Diceros bicornis minor: one gene and its partner. The protein of the gene in region 2 interacts with the protein of the main gene of each other region in a pairwise test. Links are inferred from orthologs where the notes say so. Each region holds a gene or a part of one and is shown on either strand. Other genes may lie near its edges.

The links.
Region 1: the proteins of FBF1 (region 2) and ACCS interact in a two-hybrid assay, tested with the Homo sapiens proteins (2 studies listed by BioGRID and IntAct). The two-hybrid records come from large-scale screens. The link is inferred for Diceros bicornis minor from reciprocal best matches to the Homo sapiens genes FBF1 and ACCS.

Annotation. Positions count from the first base shown.
Region 1 is NC_080770.1:25,891,698-25,904,256, forward strand, and holds the start of ACCS (1-aminocyclopropane-1-carboxylate synthase-like protein 1), read right to left. Parts: upstream 5,968-12,559; 5' UTR 5,743-5,967; intron 4,825-5,742; 5' UTR 4,753-4,824; intron 4,443-4,752; coding exon 4,152-4,442; intron 1,534-4,151; coding exon 1,474-1,533; intron 1-1,473. UniProt on the Homo sapiens protein: Does not catalyze the synthesis of 1-aminocyclopropane-1-carboxylate but is capable of catalyzing the deamination of L-vinylglycine.
Region 2 is NC_080757.1:56,321,018-56,332,953, forward strand, and holds the start of FBF1 (fas-binding factor 1), read right to left. Parts: upstream 5,831-11,936; 5' UTR 5,726-5,830; exon of another isoform or gene 5,615-5,725; intron 5,262-5,614; 5' UTR 5,124-5,261; intron 4,733-5,123; 5' UTR 4,649-4,732; coding exon 4,646-4,648; intron 4,057-4,645; coding exon 4,029-4,056; intron 2,929-4,028; coding exon 2,887-2,928; intron 1-2,886. Other genes in the region: ACOX1 (peroxisomal acyl-coenzyme A oxidase 1), read right to left, coding at 10,310-10,360, 11,013-11,219, 11,361-11,504, 11,659-11,764, 11,899-11,936. UniProt on the Homo sapiens protein: Keratin-binding protein required for epithelial cell polarization. Involved in apical junction complex (AJC) assembly via its interaction with PARD3. Required for ciliogenesis.

The DNA of each region.
Region 1 (12,559 bases), on a different chromosome or scaffold from region 2:
GAACTGGGTGCCATCATTCTGGTCTTGGCTCCAACTTCTAGAGAGACTCAGCCCATTGTGCTCCTGCGGGCTCAGCTCAACCTTACACTTTGGAAAATGTGGCTGTTTTTAGACCATCCCCACCCCGACCAGGTGCTGGGTTACTGACACACAGGGCATCACACACACAATGTCAAGGAAAGGCAGGGGCCTTGGGCAGTGGGACCAAAAGAAGAAAGGTCACCAGCCACTTGTGTATAAGTCCAGCCTTTCCCCCCTCTCCTTCATCCCTTAGAGCTGCCCTGTCCAATATGGAAGCCACCAGCCACATGTGGTTACCGAGCACTTGGGATGTGGCCGGTCTGAATCGAACACACTGGATTTTGAAGATTGATCTGAAAACAGTAGGTAAAATAGCTCCTTAATAATTTTTTATGTTGATTACATGTTGAAATGGTCATATTTTAGATCTATGGTGCTAAATAAAATATATTATTAAAGTGAATTTTACCAGTTTCTTTTTACTTATTTAATAGAAAATTTTAAATTATATGTGTGGCACATATAATTTTATTTTATCACATTTATTTTATCACATATCACATTTTATTTCTATTGGACGGTGCTGAGCTGCCTGAGAGCAGAGAGCTGGCTTTCGGTAGAACAGGCCTCTCAAGCCCACTCCCTGCCTCCGTCTCCTGTTGGGGCCTGGAGACTTCACCCTAGGAAATGTGTTCCTTTGGGTTAAGTGTCGCCCTCTCTACAATCTCAAACTCTGACTCAAAGACCTGGGAAGACATCTCGTTTGCTAGAGATGGCTCGCACCAGCTCAAGAAATCTGCTTACTAAATTTTCAGGAATTTTGCAAGCTGTGTTAAAAAACAATCATTTAAAAAATTAAATTATATATAAACTATGTAAATTATATTTAAAACAATAAGCACTCAAACATCATTGCCCCGATGATGTTACTACATCTGACTATCATCTGTGCTCGAGGTTATTTCCGTCTATGTGTCTGGACGGGGGGACGTGACATAACGGGTGCCACACTGCGCCTCTCTTCCCAACTCTGCCTGCAGTGACATCACATCAGCAGCTTGAAATCGGCCATGTGGGAGTATTTACACTATGGGAATTAGCAAAAGCTACAAATCAGGGCTTCTTCTCCCCACTGAAGAGCCAGTTGTTAAATACTGACCACACACCACTTAGCGTTTCCCCTCTGAGAGCAGGGACCTAGACAGCAGGAGGGACTGAGCGAGGGAAAGGCCTAAAGAGATAAAGAAGCAAGATCAGAGTAGGGAAGTGACTCCCTCAAGATCACATAGAAAGTCACCCCCGAGGCAGATCTGGAATCTGGGTCTCCTGACATCCAGGCCAGGGCTGCGGAGGTAAGCAGCCAGCTCTTGTGGGGGAAGCATTCTGGGGATGTCCAAGAGAAGACAGCCCCTTGGAGCTGGCGATGCCATGCACAGGCGCACTGGGACTTACCCGCCTGGACAGCAGGTCAAAGCAGAGTTTGTTCTCACTGGTGCCCAAGTTAATGATGCCCTGGAGACGAGAGGTACAGAGGCAGGGTGAGCATGGCAGAGGGGGCCGACGAGAGGCCCGCGGAACGCACCGAGGCAGCAAAGAAAGGCAGGAGCTCCCTGCAATCCCGCCCTTCCAAGCGCCCCCCTTGCCTTTGCTCAAGCCGTGCCCTCCACTCTGCTCCTTGAACCCATCTACCTATTTCTAAAGTTCAATTCAAATGCCATCTCCTCCGGGAAGCCTTCCCCAAAACCCCACCTGGAAGAGATCTTTTCTTCTTCTAGACCCTTTAGAGCACTGGTCAGTTTCTGCCCCAGGTCACAGGGACTGTTGTACATTCCTTATCTCTCCCACTAGATGGGAAGGTCCCTGAAGGCTGGATGCATGCCTGAGACACCACTGTGTCTCTCCAGGCGCTTAGAAGGACTCAATACATTTTTACGGGATGAAGGAATGTACAAAGTAAATCGGGGCTCTGGCTGGAACAGAAACGAGGGTGTATGCAGAGCAAGAAGAGCCCTGTGTTGGTGGAAATGCTCCCCCGGAGACCCGCGCGACATCACCCACCTTGACCCCACCCCATAGGCACAGATTCTCATAGGGGAGGGATGGGGGAAGGCACAGCTCAAGTCGTCCCTTATAGAGTCGCAGAGAGACGCATGCGCTATCCTCCTGACCCCTGAGTTACTGGGGGCATGAGGAAGGAGGAGGATGAAGAAGTACAGCTCGGATGAGCTCAGATTATGACAACTAAAAGCCAGTGCTCCTTCACACTCCTCCACCCACGCCAACGCTCCTGTAAATCCTGCCACTTCCACCCTCAAAACACGTGCATGGTCCAAACACTGCTCACCCTCCACTGCCAAGACCCCGGGCCAAGCCACTAGCATCTCCCGGCTAAGTTACTGTAATAGCTCCCTGCTTCCTTTCTTGCCCACTCCCTCCCAATCACTGCCCACCCTGGGTCTAATCTCCATACAGCAGTCCAAGTCCAAATCATCTTTTTAAAACCAAAATCAGATCATGTTGCTCCTCCTTTAAACACTTTCCATCCCACTTTGTCTAAAATTAGAAGGCTCACCATGTCCTGTCAAGGCCCTCCAGGGTCTCTCACCACCCCCACCCCGTTACCTTTCTGACCTCATCTCCAGCCAATCTCCAGCCGCTGACCCCTTTGCTGTCCTTTGAACTCATCAAGCATGGTTCCACCCTGAGCCCTTTGCAGTGGCTGTTCCCTCTGCCTGGAATGCTCACTCCCAGGGATCCCCACCTCCCGGTATTCACATCCTTATGTGATCTCTTCTCCTTGAGTGCGGGCTGGACCTAGTGCCCTCCTTCTAATGAATAGGATATGCAGAAGTGATGGGATGTCACTTCCAAGATTAGGTTATAAAGAGCCCGTGGCTTCCGTCCTGGGTACTCGTGATCTCTCATTGTCTCTGGGATCACTTGCCCTGGGGGAAGCCAGCTGCCATGTCATGAGGCAGTGCTATGGAGAAGTCCATGTGGCAAGGGACTGAGGCCTGCCAACAACCTGTGAGTGAGTTTGGAAGTGGATCCTCTCCCCTCCACCCTGTGAAGCCTTCAGATGAGACCGTAGCCCCTGGCTTTACTGCAGCTTCACAGAAGATCTTCAGCCTGGGGCACCCACCTGGATTCCTGAACCTCAGAAATTGTGAAACATTTGCTTTAAACTGCCAAGATTTGAAGTAATTTGTTACACAGCAATAGATAACTAATACAATCCCTCACTTTTTTCAGGTCTCTGCTCAAATGTCACCTTATTAAAATGGCATTCTGTGATCACCTGACATAAAGTAGCAACACCCCCAGCCCACTCCATCATTCTCTATCCTCTTTACCCTGCTTTATTTTTCTCTACAGCACTTATCACCACACATCATACGTTTTCTTTGTCTGTTCCTGTCTGTCTCCCCCACTAGACTATAAACTCCATGAGGGCAGGAACTTTATTTTTATTCACTGCTGTAACCCTGGCATCTAGAACAGTGCCTGGCGCCTGGTAGATGCTCAACAAATAAACATTATTAAAGGGTTATTCGTGAGAGCTCTCTGCCCTCTGAAGGTATTACTGGTAATAACTTACAATAATCAGGACAGATAACATTAATAATATTAGCAGCTACCATTTATTGACTGCTCTATGTGGAAGCACTGTGCTAATAACTTTACATGCCTGATCTCATTTCATTGTGACTATTCTATACAGCAGTTGTCATTATCCCATTTTAGAGATGATCTGAGGTTCAAAGAGGTTAAGTAATTAGCTCAAGAATACACAACCCATAAGTGAAACAGTTGCAACCTGAACCCTAGTCCTGTCCCATCTATAAAGTTGGACAGTTGATGGGCAGTGGGTCAGAATCCATATAAGAGCATTCCATGGTTCTTGAATTCCTCCCTCACAAATCAGGGCCCCCTTAATTATAAATGGGCTATTTTCTGATCCAGCTAATAAACTGGGGCCTCCCTGAACTACATCAGAAGCCCTCTAGGAGATCAGAGGACCATAACTCCACCCTGACAAGAGCAAGCTGGGTGCTGCCCTACTGGTCAAGATAGGGTATCCCACCCTGCAGTCTTCTCTTGAGTCCCAGTGGGGAGAGGGCTTCACTTACACTGGGGTTCTTGTCCTCATCATACTCGTCCATGTGGTAGGTCCTGTAGCCCTCCTCAGCTGAGTCCCAGAACCATTTAATGACTCTTCCTCTAGAGGACAGGTGGGAGCTGTTGGAAGAGAACCTGGTGGTGGGATCACCCACTCCATAGAGCTCCAGCAGCTTCTGGTCTGGTTTTCTAGAGTATTCTCTTTCCAGACCATCCCCATAGTTACTGTCCAGGTCCTGTGTGGAGGCTGGGCCCGGACAGGTGGAAGGTGCCCTGGATTCCTTCTCAGGGAGGGCGAACATCTACAAAAAGACAAAAGCACTCAATGCACCAAGCATCAGAAATGAATTGGTGTCATGGCCCCCCCTCCCCATCTGCTCCTTCCTTTAAGTCTGTATGCTCATCACTTCCTATGTCCCTGTGGTTACTACTTGTAACCATGTGTGCAATCGCTTCAACAAGTAAATCCTGTTAAGCATCTAGGCCATGCCAGGAGCTGTGTTTGCTTTCATATGACTTTAACAGACAGCTGCTTTGGCTTGTTTTACTTTTGTGAAGTTTTTCATCCTGCAGCCTAAGGGGTCACCAAGTTCTTTGCCCATTCTCGCTTACCTCAATTGCAAAAAGCCAGGTTCAAATTTTCCAACTTGAAGCAGCCTGGAATCCGGAAGGGGCCCGTGGCGACTGCCGTGAACAGGGGTGAAGGATAGGATGAGATTATTCGGTGGTCTGCAGCAGAGGGTGGCTCCACAAGTGCAGGCCCCCCAGGCAGAGCTCCAGGGGCCATCTTCACTCCTGAGGGAGGGAGGCCAGGGCACCGGGAGAGGGCGGTCTCATCCCGTGAGCTCCTCCACTTTCTCAGCCAGCTTCCTCCTCTGCACAGCGGGTATAACCGTAACTACCACACAGGGTAGCAGTGAGGATATAAATATATGAGTTAATGCAGATAAAGCGCTTAGAACAAATCCTGCCTCATAGCCCAAGCGCAGTGAAACATGTGATTATATCATAACTCCTCACCGAGGAGGTTATATCATAACCCCAGTCCTGAGGCACGAGCCCCACACACCAAATGATGGGTGACAGCCAGCGGCCCAGAAACCCAGGGGGGGCCCGATTAAAGTGTGGTCCACGAAGTCTTCTCTGGGGTCCTCCCAGGCTCGGCTGGGCTCTTCCGAGCGCTCACCTCCGTCGCTCCCGACAGCCCAGGCCTGCGACGGGCAGCGCGGACGGAGGCCGGGGTGGGAGGCGCAGCCCGGGGCCCGGAGGCCTGGGGGACGGCGGGGCTCGGCTCAGCGCCGCCCCCGAGCGAAGGGCGGGCTCGGGGCGTGCAGCCGGGCGGCGACGCGTCCCCAGCCGGACACCCGCGCCCGATCAGGCCTGGGAATCCCGCAGCGGGGCGGATCCGGGGGATAAAAAGCGAAAGGGCCTCTGCACGGCGGCGGGCGGCTCGCGAGAGGCGCTCCCGGTGTCCAGGAGGAGGAAGTGTGAGTGGGGCAAAGGGCTTGGGGACGGAAGGGCAGACTTGTGCAGAGTCCTCGAGCCCTGCACGAAGCGGGGCCCCGAGGCCGCCCTTCTCTGCAACGCGGGGGTCGCACCTACTTGGCCGAGCTGGCGGGGACCGGCGCTGGCACGTGCGTCCGCTTCCTTCGCCCGCACACGCTTTACGCGCGGGGACCCGGCCCCAGGGCACCCGGTCTCGGGGACCACGGGGCTTCCTGGACTGTTGGGGCCCAGGTCGTCCCCTCGCGACCGCGGCCGGAGGACGCCTCCGTGCGGCCTGCGCGTTAGGGGGCGCACACGTGGCCGCACGCCGGGGGCCCGGGCTCCTCCGATCCTCCCGTGCGCGCTCCCCCCGCCACTGGCCGCTCAGGCCCGAGGAGCAGCCGGAGGAGGGGAAGGGGCCCGGGGCGGAGACTTCCACGAGGAAGGGGCGGGCCGCCCGCTGCCACCTCGGCGCCCTGTGGCCTGTCGGTTCCGGTGTCCCCCCCTCCCCCGTCGGCACGCGGGCGCGCCTCCCTCTGCCTCCCCGGCCTAGTTCTCCGCTTTTGAGGCTGTTAGAGCCACGGAGGGTCTTGGCAAGTGTACGCCTGGTTGTCGCCCACAGAAAAGCCTTTTCGATTAAGGGGAGGGCATCCTTAAAACATCCTTCTTCTATGAGAGTTTTTCACGGGGGTTTGTTAATTTCTCCCCCTTTCCTTCTACGCAACATTTGTGGAACTCTGCCACGGACCCTACACCTCCGGGGCTTGGGCAGTGTGTCAGAGCACCCAGGCTCTCCGAGGCTCCTGGAGTAGGAAAATTCTCCTCTCCCCCTGACAGGAAATACGCAGGATCCCTCGCTACAAGTATGCCTGGGAAAACTTGACTGTTTTCTGACCACTCCACTTGTCTTCACTTTGGCCTTGCCACTAACACTGTGACCTCGAGCAGCTCTCGGGACTTTTTTGGCCCTCTAGTTATGTTCTGTGAAATAAGCCAGTTCTCTCCATTTAAGTCACATCATTCTATTTAATTCAGATAAGTAGTCTCATTGAATGCCTGACTTGTGCCAGATCTCTGCAAATGCTGGAATACAGCGATGAGCACGACAAACAGGGCGCTGGCTTGGTTGCTTGGGAAGGCCGCCATATGGATGTGATGACTATTAAGAAAGGGAGGGCTGGGGGCTATGGAAGCATGCAGCAGGGGGGGTTAACCCCACCCCCACAAACATAGGCACTGGCTCACACAGAAAGCCCTACACACCATACATTCACCCTAAACACTTAGGAAGTGATGGTTGAGTTCTGAAGGATGAGTCCTAGTTAGCTAGCTGGAGGGTGGGGTGTTGGAAGCAGAAGGAAGGGTTTGATGGGGTCTTGGAGGTTTGAGTCAGTGCGGAGCATTAATGAACTGCAACAAATCTAATTCGGCTGGAGGTTGCAGGGTCTGGGAGGAAGGCTGGAGATACAAGCAGAGGTCAGGTCATGAGTCTTTGTAAATAAATCATGATAAGGACTGTGGACTTCTCACTGAGGGCATGGGACAGATATATTGTAATCCCCAGAGCAAACAAGTTTTTAAAAAACCAAAAGGTATAAGAAGCCAAAAAAGGCAATAAAATGTGATACTAAATAATGATTGATTAATCTGAAAGAAGGCAAACAGGAAGGAAAAAAATGAATAAAGAGCATATAGCACAAATAGGAAACAAGTAGTAAGACAGTTGACTTAAATCCAACCATATCAATAATTACATTAAATGTAATGACCAGGACCGATTAAAAGATCATCAGACTGGATAAAGCAGCAAGATTCAAGTATATGAATTCAATTATATGAACATGTCTGCAAGAGACATGTTAAATAAAAAGACAAATGGTTAAAAGTAAAATGGGAAAAAACATACCACACAAATGATAAGAGGATGGCTATTATTAAAAAACCAGAAAACAAGTGTTGGCAAGGATGTGGAGAAATTGGAACCCTTGGGCACTGTTGGTGGGAATGTAAAATGGTACAGCCTCTGTGGAAAACAATATGGAGAGTCTTCAAAAAATTAAAAAATAGAATTACCATATGAACCAGCAATTTCACTTCTGGATATAGTCCCAAAAGAATTGAAAGCAGGGTCCTGAAGACATATTTGTGCACCCATGTTCATGGCAGCATTATTCACAATAGCTAAAACATGGAAGCAACCCAAATGTCCGTTGACGGATGAATGGATAAGCAAAATGTTGTATATACATACAATGAAATATTAGTCTTCAAAAGGAAGGAAATTCTGACTTATGCTACAACATGGATGAATCTTGAGGACCTTATGCTAAGTGAAATAAGCCAGTCACAGAAAGAACAAATACTGTAAGACTCCACATATGAGGTACTAAGAGTAGGCAAAATCGTAAAGACAGAAGGTAGAATGGTGGTTGACAGGGGTTGGCGGAAGTGGGGAAGGAGAGAATAGAGAGTTATTAATAGGTACAGATTTTCAGTTTTACAAGATGAAAAGAGCTATGGGGATGGATGGTGGTGATGGTTGCACAACAATGTGAATATATTTAATCCCACTGAACTGTACACTTAAAAATGGTTAAGATGGTAAATTTTATGTTATGTGTATTTTAACACAAAAAATCATAAGAAAGCTAAAATATTTGTAAGCTGACATAATAGACTTCAAAATAAGAATTACCAAAAATTCAAAACATTTCATAATGATAAACCGATCGATTTATCAGGATGACAAACAATTTTAAATGTTTATACTCCTAATAACAAAGCTTCAAAATACAGGAAGCAGATACTGACAGGATAAAAGGGAGAAATAGACAAATCAACAATTATAGTTGGAAAATTTAGCATCCTTCTTCTAGTAATAGATAGAATGGATCAAATAACAGTAAGAATCAGAAGATTTAAACATCATAAAACAATTTAAATCTAATTAACATTTATAGAACACCACATCCAAAAACCACGGAATACACTTCTTTTCAAGTGCATGTGAAACATTGACCAGGACAGACTATACTTGGCCATCAACATGTCTCAGTAAATTTCAAAGGATTGAAATTGTAGTTTACGTTCTCTAGTCACAACGGAACTAAAGTAGATACCATTAACAAAGATAGCTGAACAATCCCCAAATGTTTGGAAGCTAAGTAACATATGCTAAATAAATCATAGATAAAAAAGAAATCACAGGGAAATTAGAACATTGAATGTTTAAAAAAACCAACATATCAAAATTATGTATAGCTAAAGCAATGCTTGGAGAGAAATCAATAGCTTTAAATGCTTATATTTGGGGGAAAAAAGCTTAAAACCATTGAGTTAAGCTTCCACATTAAAAAGCTAGCAAAAGAGCAAATTAAACACAAAGAAAATAAAGATAAGAATGGAAATGAAACAGAAGAGAAACAACAGAGAAAAATCAATGAAACCAAATTTGGTTCTTTGAAAAGCTCAATATAATTGATAAACATTTAAATTAACTGATCAAAAAAACTCATTTCAATATAAAGAAAGAGGAGATAACACTACAGATCCTATAGATATTAAAGGGATAATATGGGAATATTATAAACAATTTTGTGTCAATAATTAAACTTAGATAAAATGGACAGATTTTCTTGAAAGACATAAATTGCCAAAACTGACACAAGAAATAGAAAATGTGAATAGCCCTATATCTGTTACAGAAATTGAATTCATGGGTAAAAACCTTCCCACAAAGAAAACTCCTGGTACAGATGGCCTTACAGGTGAATTTTACCAAACATTTAAAGTTTTTAAAAAATTGATTTGACACAAACTTTCAGAAAATTGAGGAACACTTCCAAAACATGTATGAGGTATTACCCTGATACCAAAAACAACAATGCATTACAAAAAAGAATATTATAGCGCAATATCCCTCATGAAAATAGATGTAAAATTCCCCAAATTCAACAATATATAAAAGGATGATGCATCAATGACTATATGGGGCTTATTGCAGGCATATGATGTTGGTTTAATTTTTTTTAATCAATGTAATTTACCACAATAATTGAAAGAGAATTATATCATCTCTAGAGGTACAGATAAAAACATCTGACAAAAATTAAACCCCCATTCATGGTAAAACTCTCAGCAAACTAAGAATTGAAGGAAACTCTTCTATCTGGTAAGGGCAGTATGAAAAATACTTGCAGAAACGTTATGCTTAAGAATAAGAGACTGAACTCAATCCTGCTAAGATTGAAAACAAGGCAAGAATGTCCCCTCTTACCACTTTTATTCAACATTGTACTGGAGGTTCTAGGCAATGCCATTTGAACAGAAAAATGAGACATAAATATTGAAAACAAAGAAGGAAAATCATCTTTATTCACAGGCAATATGATTGTATACATTGAAAATTTTTTAAAAAGTCCTCCCCAAACTACTAGGGCTAATAAGTGAATTTAGCAAGGTCACAAGACACTGTCAGGAGATGAATCTTCCTCAGTCTCTCATGTTTCTGCCTCTCTTGCAAGCAGGGACACTGACTGCCTATGTTCTAGGCTATCTTCAAGGATATATGTGTATATATATCAAACAGCCTTGCATGATAGCAACAGTGTCTCCCTCCAGAGCAGATGATAGGTTGGTTTACTACTCAGTATAATAAGATAATGTCTCCCTCAGGGCCAAAGTTCAGGCAGGCTTACTGCCCATTATAAAAGAATCGGGTTCCTTAAACTTGGGTTTCCTCCTTTGCAACACACGCACTGCACATGGAGGCATCCGCTAGTGCGCCTCAGCTTGCCCTGTAAGAATCAGGGCTTGGGCAACTGAAAGCTGATACTCTGATTACTGCTACTGCTGTGAGTAGTAAGCTGTCCTTTGTCTCTGACCCAGGATTCTCATGCCTTCTGCCAGGATCCATGAAACCTGTTGGTTTGCAAGTAGGGTAAAATCTCAGAGCCTTCAAATTCCTTGATAGATACAACATAGAAAAATCAGTTGTTTCAATATACTGGCAAGAAACAATTAGAAAATGAAATTAACCATACATTTAAAGTAATATGAAAAGCATAATGTAGTGATAAATTTAACCAAATATGTGTAAGATCTGTACACTGAAAGCTACAAAGACCTTGCTGAGAGAAATTAAAGATATAAATAAATGCAGGGAGATTCCACACTCGAGGATAGGAAAATATTAAATTTTTCTCACATAACCGTTTGAATCTTGAACGGAATAGAAGACAGAAACAGCCTCTCTCTTCCATGGAAGGCACCATCCTCTCCATCTCAGGACAGTGGCCTTATGAGACTATAGCTCCCATTACAGAGATCTCAAGAGACTCTGGTTCCCATCTCCACCTTCTCTTCTGGTCCTAAGTGCTCCCTCATTCATCGGGTGAATTCCCTTCCTATGTCTATTAGCCAAGTCAGTTTCTAAAGAAATTTGTCTAGTGTAAAAGAAAAAACCTTGAGGGCCTGCCCAGTGGCGCCAGCAGTTGGGTGCGTGTGCTCTGCTGCGGCCGCCCAGGGTTCACTGGTTCGGATCCCGGGCACGCACTGATGCATCGCTTGTTAGGCCATGCTGTGGCGGCATCCCATATAAAGTATAGGAGGAGGGGCATGGATGTTAGCCCAGGGCCGGTCTTCCTCAGCAAAAAAAGGAGAGGATTGGCAACAGATGTTAGCTCAGGGCTGGTCCCCCTCACAAAAAAAAAAAAAAAAAAAAGAAAAAGCCACCTTGAAGAATCTGGATTTGTTGGTGTGCTGCTTTTTGTTGATTTGAAAAAAAAAAAGGAAAAATTGTCATTGAAGAACAAGAACCACCAAACCTGGACCCAAGAGAGAGAGGATGGTCACAAACCCAAGTGAATGGCCAAAGCCATCAGTTGGTGCTAAAAGCTCTTGCATCTTCTAGAAAATGGCGATAGTCTCTGCTCTGCCCATTCACAGCATCAGTCCTCAGGCTAAAGCTCAGACGTGCAAGGGCTTTGCGGAGAAGCACACAGGTGGTATGATTTGAACAGCTGACAACACTAGAGCTGAAAATGGAAGACCCAGGCTTGTCACCAGAGATTCATTTCAAAAGCCTTTTGAGAAGGCAAGAATGGAAAGAACTTGTATTTGGAAGCAGGAACGTTTGGAATTATAACCGCCACCCTGCCACTCAGCCACTCATGTGTAAGGTGGGTGTGATCATGGAAGGATCCTAAGGGACACTGCATCCAACACCTGGAAAGTCCCCATCAATTAGGGATCACCTTTTTCCTTCCTTTCTGACCTGCCCCCAGACAGCATTCTGCACATATAACCCACCTTAGAATTTAAAAAGAAGGGGCCGGCCCCGTAGCTTAGCGATTAAATGTGCGCGCTGCACTGCTGGCGGCCCAGGTTCAGATCCCGGGCGCCCACCAACGCACCGCTTGTCCGGCCATGCTGAGGCCGCGTCCCACATACAGCCACTAGAAGGATGTGCAACCATGACATACAACTATCTACTGGGGCTTTGGGGAGAAAAAAAAAAAGAGGAGGATTGGCAATAGATATTAGCTCAGAGCCGGTCTTCCTCAGCAAAAAGAGGAGGATTAGCACGGATGTTAGCTCAGGGCTGATCTTCCTCACAAAAAAAAAAAGAAAAAGAAAAAAATCATCTAGCTCCCAAAGATGACAGGAAGAATGTGAACAAGAAATAAAACAGACCTGGAATTTAAGAGAATATGGAATTTATTAGATACGGAATACAAAAATAAACCCATCAGAATAGGGACCCAGAAAGCTGCCTTTATTCCTCTCTAGGCTTTCCTACCCCAACCCCCTTAAACACATTTTGTACACACACAACGGCTACCAAAGACTAAAAAAAGATGCAAAGCTTCTAAAAATGACAGGTGCTCAGCTTAAGGAGGTTGATGACTAGGTCAGATGAGCCCATGCCTGCAGA
Region 2 (11,936 bases):
TCAGCATGGCTGGAGAGGCGGTGCGTCGGTGTGCACCTGGGATCCGAACCCAGGCCGCCAGTAGCGGAGCGCACGCACTCAACCGCCAAGCCACGGGGCTGGCCCACAACATGATTTTATATACAGAAAACCCTAAAGAATCCACTGGAATATTATTAGAAATAATCAACAACTACAGCAAAGTTGTAGGGTACAAAATCAACTTACAAAAATCAGTTGCACTTCTATACTCTAATAATGAACTAACAGAAAGAGAACACAAGGGGACAATCCCACTTACAATTGCAACAAGAAGAATAAAATATCTAGGAATAAATTTAACCAAAGAGGTGAAAGACCTATACAACAAAAACTATAACACATGACTGAAAGAAATCAGTGATGACATAAAGAAATGGAAAGATATCCCATGCACACGGATTGGAAGAATAAACATAGTTAAAATATCCATACTACCTAAAGCAATGTACAGATTCAATGCAATCCCAACCAGAATCCCAATGACATTCTTCACGGAAATATAACAAAGAATACTAAAATTCATATGGGGCAACAAAAGACCCCAAATAGCTAAAGCAATCCTGAGCAAAAAGAACAAAGCTGGAGGCATCACAATCCCTGACTTCAAAATATACTACAAAGCTATAATAAGTAAAACAGCATGGTACTGGTACAAAAACAGACACACAGATCAATGGAACAGAATTGAAACCCAGAAATAAAACCACACATCTGCAGACAGCTAATCTTCGACAAAGGAGCTAAGAACATACAATGGAGAAAGGAAAGTCTCTTCAATAAATGGTGCTGGGAAAAGTGGACAGTCACACGCAAAAGAATGATAGTAGACTATTTTCTTTCACTATACACAAAAATTAACTCAAAATGGATCAAAGACTTGAAGGTAAGACTTGAAACTGTAAAACTCCTGGAGGAAAACATAGGCAGTACACTCTTTGACATCAGTCATAGAGGGATCTTTTCGAATTCCATGTCTACACGGACAAGGGAAATAAAAGAAAAAATAAACAAGTGAGACTTCATCAGACTAAAGAGCTTCTGCAAGACAAATGAAACCAGGATCAAAATGAAAACACAACACACCAGCTGGGAGAAAATATTATCAAATCATATATTTGACAAGGGGTTAATCTCCATAATATATAAAGAACTCACACAACTGAACAACAAATAAACAACCCAAGCAAAAAATGGGCAGAGGATATGAAAAGACATTTTGCCAAGGAAGATATACAGATGGCCAACAGACACATGAAAAGATGTTCAATATCACTAATCATCAGGGAAATGCATATCAAAACTATACTAAGATATCATCTTACACCCGTTAGAATGACTATAATCACCAAGACAAAAAATATCAAATGTTGGAGAGGATGTGGAGAAAAGGGAACCTAATTCACTGCTGGTGGGAATGAAAACTGGTGCAGCCTCTATGGAAAACAGTATGGAGATTCCTCACAAAATTAAAAATAGAAATACCTTATGACCCAGCTATCCTACTACTGGGTATTTATCCAAAGATCTTGAAATCAATAATCCAAAGAGGCTTATGCAGCCCTATGTTCATTGCAGCATTATTCACTATAGCCAAGACATGGAAGCAATCCAAGTGTCCCTTGACTGATGATTGGATAAGGAAGATGTGGTGTATATATATATATAATGGAATACTACTCAGCCATAAAAAAAGACAAAATCGTCCCATTTGCAACAACATGGATGGACCTGGAGGGTATTATGTTAAGTGCAATAAGCCAGAGAAAGAAAGACAAACAGTGCATGATTTCACTCATATGTGGAAGATAAACTAACACACCGACAGAGAGAAGAGTTGGTGGTTACCAGGGTGAAGGGGATTGGGGGGTGGGCACAAGGGGTGAAGGGATGCATTTATACGGTGACTGACAAACAAAAATGTACAACTAAAATTTCATAATGTTATAAACTATAATGACATCAATTAAAAAAAAATAGGCAAAGGATCTGAAAAGACCTTTCTCCAAAGAAGATATACATATGGCCAATACACATATGAAAATTTGTTCAACATCATTAGTCATTAGGGAAATGCACATCAAAACTATAATGAGATGCAACTTTACACCCACTAGGATGGCTATAATCAAAAAGACAGAAAATAACAAGTATTGGCAAGAACCTGGAGAAATCGGAACCCCCTTACACTGCTCGTGGGAATGTAAAATGGTGCCGCTGCTGTGGAAAATAGTTTGGTGGTTCCTCAAAAATTTAAACATAGAGTTACCATATAGTCCAATGATTCCACTCTTTGGTTTATACCCCAAAGAACTGAAAACATATGTGCATGCAAAAATGTGTATATGAATGTTGATAAAAGCGTTATTCACAACAGCCTAGCCAAAATGTGGAAATCACTCAAATATCCATCAACTCACAAATGGATAAACAAAATATGGCATCTCCATACTGGAATAGTGTCCAGACATAGAAAGAAATGAAAAAAGGAATGCTATAGTGTGGATGAACTTTGAAAACATTATGGTAAGTGAAAGAAGCCAGATGCAAAAGCCACATACTGTATGATTCCATTTTATATAAAGCATCTAGAATAGGCAAAGACATAGAGAAAGAAAGTAGACAAGTGGTTGCCTAGGGTTGGGGGGAGGGGAGAACGAGGAGTGACTGCTAATGGGTATGGAGTTTCTTTACAGGGTGATGAAAATGTTCTGGAATTACACTGTGGTGATGGTTGTATAACTTTGTGAATACACTAAAAGCCACCAAACTGTACACTTTAAAAGCGAATTTTACATGAATTATATCTCAATTTAAAAAAGAAAAGAAGAAGCCTAAACGAAGGGATTCTGGGGAAGGGGCACTTACTGTCATCCCCTAGGAGGTCACCAAGGACATCATCTATGGAGCCTGGAAGAGAAAAGCAGCCATCATGACCTCAGGAGAAAAGAAGAATGATCCTTACAAGCCTCACGTCTTGAGACCTCACTCCAGGACCTCAGAGGTCTCAGATGTTGGGCTTAGCTCTCTCTTCACGGGCCACGAGATGTTTTCTAACTCTCTGGCAACAAGTCACAATGCCTTGTGGAAAGACCCTAGGGTAGAAATTGAAAATAACTTTCTCAAAGGATGGTGGTGAAGATTTTCAGTAGAACCTACATTCTGTGTGACACACTGGCCAACAAGCCAGTCTTCCAGACTTGGAACAAAGCCCAGTTTGCTTCTTTAGGAAAAGTGTCCAAGATTTCTAGGCACATACAAGCTTCTTTCATACCAATAGCCTCCTTGTATCCTTCCATCTGAGACCTTCAGAACTGGTCTGGAGACATACCTTCTTGGCCACTTTCCGATGGGGTCATGTGGGGGAAACCCAAGTTTGAGTCCTGAATGAGGTCTTGCATCCAGCTGAAGTGCCTTTACCACCACCTGTAACCCCAACCGTATGTTTTTTTTTTTTTTTTTTTTTTGGAAGATCAGCCCTGAGTTAACATCCATGCTAGTCCTCCTCTTTTTTGCTGAGGAAGAGCGGCTCTGAGCTAACATCTATTGCCAATTCTCTTCCTTTCCCCCCCCCCCCCAAAGCCCCAGTAGACAGTTGTATGTCATAGTTGCACATCCTTCTAGTTGCTGTATGTGGGACGCGGCCTCCGCATAGCCGGATAAGCGGTGCGTCGGTGCGCGCCCGGGATCCGAACCCGCGCCACCTGTAGCGGAGCACGCGCACTTAACCACTAAGGCACGGGGTCGGCCCCCAACCGTATGCTTCTGGATACAGAGCCCAACGAGAAGGGTTTTTTCCTCAATTCCCATCCCTAGTTTATTTCTGTATTACTCTGAGGGCCAATGAGGCAGCATAAGGAGTCCCCTAGGAAGACCAAAGCTGCCTATGAAATTATGGGGAAATCAGCAAGACTCACACCAAGAACATTCAGACACAACAAAGTTATTTTTGGACCCAAGGGGCAGAAATTATTTTTGACTTAAGGGTGATGTTCCATCTCTCCACTCACCTTTCAATCCCTTCTTGGTTTTTGGTGCCTAAAATGGGAAAAACAAATCACATTAACAAAATCAGTGAACATGTGTTGAAACTGAGAATGCAGAATGAATTGCTTGGTCTTTTGCCAAGTCACGAGAGAAAAAGGAGCTCCAGTGGCATTCAGAGACAGAAGCCCTTTATGCTTTCCTAGAGTTTCTCAGAATAGACTCATTCAGAGCGTGGAAAAGCTCCCACTAACCAGTACAGGATGCCACTGTGGGTGCAATCCGGTGGGCAGAAGTCTCTGCTTTTCACTGATTTCCAGACACCACATGCAAACCTTCCCAGCCAGGCTGTAATGTGACTGGGAATGTTTTCCTCTCTTCCATGTCCCTGTCTCCTCAATACCAGCAAGAGACACTTAAAAATGCTTCCAGCTGGACATTCAGAGGCTCAGAAGAAAGTCTTGCTCATTGCTTAATAAGAAGTTTGACATCAATTCTACTTCCTAGCACAGTTCTCTGGGGACCACATCCTGGTCCTTGACACCTAGCCCCCAAGTACTCCATGCAGTCAAGATCTTGGGGGTGGGAGTGGGGGTAAGAGCGGGTTCACATTTCCATACATCTTACTCTGCATTCTGCCTACCATCTCTAAGGCTCTAGGGGCTGCCTGTGGCTCCTTCACAGCGCTGTCCACATCATTTGAATTCTGCCCACATGGAGCTCATCCTTCCTAATAAAGAAAATTAAAGTGGTTGCTTAAAAATGATGGAGCTTTCCTATTTCCATAAATTAACAATTCCTTATGGGGACAGCAATTCAGATGAGAAGCAAAGTGCTCTGGGTAACTTAATGAGCTTTTCAAGGCTTCAAGATTACTCCCATAAAGGGCAGTGGTCCTCATCCTTTATCCTGAGAGAGGATGGGGGGGATGGCAGGTATCCATCTCAGAAAGGAAGTAGGTGCTAGGTACTATGGCCAATACACCTTCCCAGGCAATACCCATGACTACTTCCTAGGCAGCATTCAGCACAAAAGCTGATGTGAGTGCTGGTTACTCCTTGACACTATATTCACTGATGGTGGAAATTTTTCCCTTCACACTAACTGTAAATCCGACTCACCTCATTAATAGAGAAGTTTTCCTCAGAATTATCACTCTCTCCCTACCCCTCCTCAACATTACCAAAACCGACTTTTGGCATGCCTTGGAAGAAAGGAGTCGGAGGAGGCCATCTCGGTTTCGCTGGGTTTGGCCTGTCCTGTTATTAGAAGGCAAAGTTTAGCTGGGTTATGCATAGGGGCCACTCTGACTATTTTTGTATCTTTCTCTGTAATGGCAATTTTCACGACCTACAAGTCCAAACATGTTTTGCACCATAACACATCCAGGAACTTCTGCCATCTCCTATCGATACTGTCCCAGCCTCCCACACCGCGAGAATTTCTAAGAGAGGTTTGCAAAAGCCACAGGGCCACACAGTACCATCGCGTCATCGCATCTCTTTAACCAACTCCGTGCCAGGCATTTTAAAATCCCAAACCTGCCCTTTAGCAAGACCCCTCCCGGAGTCACCCCCTCGGTCCCGAGACTCCGTGCCCCTCCATGCGTCACCCTCTCCGAGCGCCCAGACCATTTGCGCTCCGAGCTCAGCCTACAATCCTTCTAGCCCCTGAAATCCTCCGGGTTACGCGCCATTCCCCGCAGAGGCGCAGACGAGGGCACCTGTCCCAGCCATGTCCACTGGTCCCGGCTCCGCGAGAGCCCAGTTTGGTCGGTCCTCCAGCTTCAGAACCCCGCGGCCGCCAATCTCTCAGTCGCTCGGCCTCCGGAAGGCGAGTCTCGAGGCATCCTGGGAGTTGTAGTCCACGGTCCGCTCAGCTGCTGGAGTCAAGGGAACCACGGGCGCCGAGATGAACTACATTTCCCACGGTGCCCCGCCCTGGCCGTTGGTGGAGGCCGGGCCTCTGTTCCCGGCTCCGCGCGTTGCTGGGTGCTCCCTCAACACCCGCTCGGAAAGAGGGAACAGGGCCGCGACGGCCGGTGGTGTTCTTCCTCTCGCCCTCCCTAGAAGACTGCCGGGGGCCTGGGCTCCAAAACCAAACACTAAAATTCCTCCAGCACTCTTCTGGGGGCTGACTCGTGGCGAGGTTGGAGGCGTGAAAAACGTGTTAAGATTGGAAGACCGATAAACCATAATTATATATATTTATCCCACACAACAAAGCTTCGGGAAATGGCTGTGACCTTTCTGTTCAATTATCAAAATCAAAGCTGCGAAACCAGAATGAAACCCAATACAGCCTCCCAATAAAGACACGTAACATTTTTTGTGTTAATTACAGATTTTATTAAGGGTTTTCCAGTTTTACAAAGGAAAAGGGAGTTAGTGGTTTGCCTTACTCGCAGGCCAATCAGTGCTGGCGGGTCACTGCCGTCCAACCGTGACTCACACGCTCTGGACCAGCGCACCTCCTCAGTACTCCCAACCCCCTCGACCCGTCCGGCCGGGGATGGGTAACAATACATGGAAATTCATCTTGTCAGGTAGGAACCAAACTCAAACCACAACAGTAAAAGGAAAAAAGGTAGCAGAGTGATTATATATTACAAAGGATGTTTAAGTCCCGTCCTTGAATCCACAACAATTGGAAATAAAATGGTGTTTACAAAGTAGCAGTCAGCAGTCTGATTATGTTGAAGATCACACATTTGATACCTAACCTAGGAAAGTCAACAGTATTGTGACAAAACAATTTACTTTAGTTCATAATATGTAAAATCACTCCCAATTTCCCATGATCTTCCCGAGATAATCAATGGCACACAAATTTAAGGCAAAAGTCAAAGTCAAACATAAAAACCCCTTGGAATCCAGGAATTTGCAGGTCTGCAACAGCTATCATCTGCTAACTCCAAAGGTTCCTTCTATGTTTTCTATGTTTAGTATCATGGACCACAGGAAGAGGTACTGAAAAATTTGTAAGTGTGGATAGCTAAAAGCAAAACTCCACCACCACTATTTCAAAATGAAAAGTCATTTTAGTCATTTACAGTGTGACTTGGTCTAATCCTCCAAGCATGGAGTAGTAAATATTCAATTAGCTGAAATGATCTCTACATTACTCCATGAAAATGATCAAAGCCTTATCTGAGTCAGAATTACCAAGACTCTTGGTCTCAAGCAGAACAATCAATTTCCTGGCACGGCTCCTCTCTCCAGCTACAGCAGCAGCTACTCTTGAAGATAACCTATAACCCGAGGCATACCTTCCGCATATATAAAGATTAGCAGGTGTTACAGACCATCTGCATCTAATTCTCTTCCTTCCTAATAAAACAGATGGAAAGAACACAGATAGGGGGAGGAGGGACTTGGAGCAGCAGCAGTCTAAAGAATTTTCGTTTCCCAGGGAACTCTAGAATCATGAATTTGAAGTTATATTTCTCTAGCCAAAGCCCTGCACTGAAGAAAACCAAGAATTAAGATCTAACATGTTAACTTTAGGAACTATAAAATGCCTCCAGGTATATGTAATCTGAAGTTACAAGCAGTGAGTTCTTAGAAAGCATGAGAATGTAGGTAATGTTGCAATTAAGCAAATGTTCTGAAGATAAGCTGATACTTAGCAGTGCTACATTCTGAAGACAAGAACATGAAGGGCCCCAAAGGCTTTGGGACCAACTGTGTTTTCAGGTCACTAATGTCCAAATACTGAAATACACCTCAGTGTATCTCTAGAAGAGCACAAAGCAGAGCTCCCAACACTTCAGGAAGAATCAACCTTCATCCATTACAAATAGCAAAAACATCTCTATTAAACCTCAAATTTTCAATTTTGGGTACTGTTCAGAGTACTTTCTTAAAAGGCTTATATCATTATCATCTAATAGAAAAATCTTATTCTACTCAGTATTTATCATCATTTTGGAGAAGACTGTGTTTTCTCCAAAATTTATCCAAAATACAAAATTGAAATTTATCTTTGTATTTTTTGTGAAAACAGCTTACAAAAGTACCCAATAGAACCAAACTTATCTGTGGCAAAGTCTGGCTTCTTAGGGACAGCAAACTGGACCTGCTGCTTCCTTTACCAAGTAGCCAACAAAACAAACATGTATTCCTAGATCGACCAGCACAGACACTGCTACCACAGTGATTACGGCTAATGTAAGAGCCATCTGCTCAGGCAGCTCTCATGCCTTCATCTTTTGTTTTTAGTGTTACCTAAACCTAATAAACCTGTATCTTAAAATTCTTCCTAAGAATTTCATAAGAAACACGTTTAATTGTGTGGTACACTCTTTCCCTCTTGATAGCACAAATTAGTGAGGTTTTACTATATCTTTATTCTTTAATTACAGTGAATAAAGTTCATGACAAAATATTCCAATGTTAATAAAAATAGTATCAAATATCAGATTTAGTTTTTAAATAAAACTCAAGGTGCTAGACTGATGTAATGTCTACATCCAGTTCACATCTGCTAAAGACAGATCTCAGATCTATGCAGCTGGATTAGGTGGGACGGTGTCATTTCAAACACCCTTAGATCCTGACCCACAGATAGGCATCTGTGGATAAGGTATTTAACCACTAATTCTGAAACAAATCTACATTTAATAGGTCAATATTAAGAAATTTAAATTTACTTTTTGTTATTTCCCAGAATCCAAACTACTGTCAAGATATACCCAAATGAGATTAACAAAGAGTGCTTTTCACTTCAGTCTTAACACAACTATTACTTAGTTCTCCTGGTAGAAAGATTAAGGCTTGTGTCAACAGACAGTATTTCTGCTGGACCTAAAAGTCTCATATTACTGGTTCCACTGGGATAGAGTTTACGGCAGGTCTCAAGATAGGAATTACATTTTCACTGAATTATACTACCTTCTCAACAACTGGGTCTAGAACAACTGGTTTCATGAGGCAGATATCACAGACACAAATAGTTAACAGGTTAAAAAAAAAAAAATCAAGTGACATGTTTTACATTGATTTCAAGAAAAAAACTCATGTTAACCTTTAAATATAGAATGATTGTATAAATTAGATTTCAGCTGAAAGGACAACTTAGCAATTCAGATAAAGCTCCTAGAAACATACTGAAAACAAACCCAGATACACAATTCTTTAGAACTTCCATTTATCTTTTAGCCATAGTTTCAATGATTATATTTTCTCATCCAAAAATCAGAACATGGTTTGTCAAAGGATATCTCTGTGCTACTCCTGGGTGTAAGAGGTAACCTGAGTGATGCTTTTATTTTTTTAACGCCCGATACTGTACCCTCCAAGCATTTTAATGGCTTACGCCAAAATGACAGAATATATGAAATCTGAGTTGTTTCAGAAAATCCAGTTAATATGGTCACCCAAGTTACAATAACCGTAACCGAGAGCTCTCCCTACACTTACTCTACTAAGAAAGAACTGTGACTCTTTTTGCTCCTTTCTTCAGAAGAAAGGAGAGCAAACACCACTGACTGAGGTCCGATCAGCTGCCAAAAGTTACATGTAGAGATAAGTTTGCCACCTACCCCTTCCCAAGACGTTAGCGACAAAGGCAGTTGTAGAGCTACTATAGACAATTTAGGGATTCCTCGAACGGGAGATGAATTCCCAATTACACGAGACAATGATCCTGCAGTAGGCCTGTGTTGAAGAAATCCTTGTGCTGGGAAAATGCACCAGGAATAGTTAGATAGGAATGATACACGGCAATACATTGGCAAAGGAGGGCAAGCGGGCAGAGAATGTGTCAGTGTGTCAAGCACAAACTCACAATCAGTTTCCTGCCCCCAATCCCTTTTCTTCAGTCCTGCTTTTTAGCAGGCCCCACGGTGGGAGTGGTAGGACATTTAGCAGGAAAGCCTGGAAGGGTTATACCTCACTTAAAAAATATCTTTGCTTAAAAACACTTATATATCCAGTGATTAAGAACTGAGATGTGAAAATAATTAACTACTTAGTAGTTAAATTCTACTAATTATCAAAAGGCATGGCCTACTGGGATCAGCAGCATTATAAATGGAAGTCATATGACATTTCTTAAAGCTTTTTCTGAATGCTTAACAGGTCTCTTTCAGTGTTAATTGCACTTAAAACACACCTTTTTTTTCATTTAATCTCTGAAATCTGTTCTTTTTTTCCTTCATTTATAAAAAGAGGCAAGGGGTCAATTTATCATTTGCTCTATAGCTCTCTGAATTCGATAAAGATGCCGCACAGATTTGAGCGACAGGAGCAAGGGGAGTAGAAGAGCAGAGCTGCTTTCTGGAACAGATTACACTCGTCATGACACTTCAGAGCTTGGACTGCAGTGGCTTCAGGTGCTTGTAGTAAGATTCATGGACCTTTAGGGAAGGGAGAGAGAAGAAATTACTGATAAGGAGCTTGTAATGTAAAACAGTGTACTTTTAATGGAGAAATTACCTGGACCTTATTTGGATTCTAATTCAAAGAAACTTAAGGGAAAAAAAATTGAGTCAATTGGGGAAATCTGAACAGTGGGTAGTTCACGATACTAAAAAATTTACTATTAATTTATTAGGTGTGAGAATGGAATGTGGTTAATTTTTTAAAAGAATCTTTATCTTTTAGAGATACATATTGAAATATCTATGGATAAAATAATCTGATACCTTAGATTTGTTTCAAAATAATCCCCGGGGTGGGGCGGCTGGGGGGGTTCAGATGAACCACAACTGGCTGTGAGTAGACAGCTGTTAAAGCAGGACAAAGGGTACATGCAGGTGCATTAGAGAATTCTATTTTTGTACATGTTTGAAAATTTTCAATTAGTTATTAACTACTCAAGGAAATTAAAAACCTGCTTACTGTGGGAACGACCCAGTTCCCTTCTGAACCTGTTGCTCAAATAAGGTGATTGTCCGAAATGGTCACAAGAGCTTTCAAAGGTTCCACAGATGGATCACTCTCAGAGATCTTTCCTGCCTTAATATTTAAATGAAGAATTTCAAAAGGTGAAAAGGCATCGTTTTTTACCTCTGTTTTGTTCAGTGGGGATTTCTTGGCCCACTCAAACAAGTTTTCGTACACATTCCCATCATAGCGGCCAAGCACAGAGCCGAGTGTCACGTCCTGAAAATCAAAAGCATCAACCAAAGCAACAGCCTCAGGGCGAATGGCAGTCAGTAACTCCTTTATACGCTGGTTCACTTGGGTAATCTGAGACTCGGTCATGATGCTCCCCTAAACGAAACAAAATAAGCAAACAAACATATATATGTCTGTATAGAGACAGAGATATTTATATACACACAAATATAAAATAGGCCACAATTATTTTTCTACAAAAGTAAATAAACAGGACTTAACCTTAAAAATACTGACCTGAAGAAAATCCCCTGCATTCTGACTGATTCCATACAGAGAATACAAGAGACATAAATTCCTTAAGACAGCTTGGACAGATTTATCTTGAATCTTGAGGAGTTTTTCTGTAAAGAGCTTAACTACCACATAGTGGCAATGTGCCTAGATAAAAAGAAAACACCAGAGTGTGAGAACCTTTGAAAAAGATTCAACACACAGTGACAAGGGTTTCTGCACTAAGACAGCAAGAGGGGGAGTGGGGGAGAAGGGAAGCGGAGGGCGGGAGAAAGAAGAGGGGGAGAGAACTATCACTGACCTCACTTGCTCGAACAAGGTCAACGGAAGTTAGGTTCCATGCTACCTCCTTGCTTTTTCTGTGAACCACTTCAGTTTGAAGGTTTTTCGCAGCAATTGCTACTAATCTGTTAAAAAATGAAAGAAAACTGGATCTTGGAGGAAATGATCAATAGTACTCATGCCTTCTTCCTCTTCCATCAGGCCCCTAGCCCCAGAGGCCCCCACAGCTACCCATTCTAGCTTTTGAGGGTGAGCTCACCTGGCCGCACGAAGTTTATACGCTTCTGTTAGGCTGTC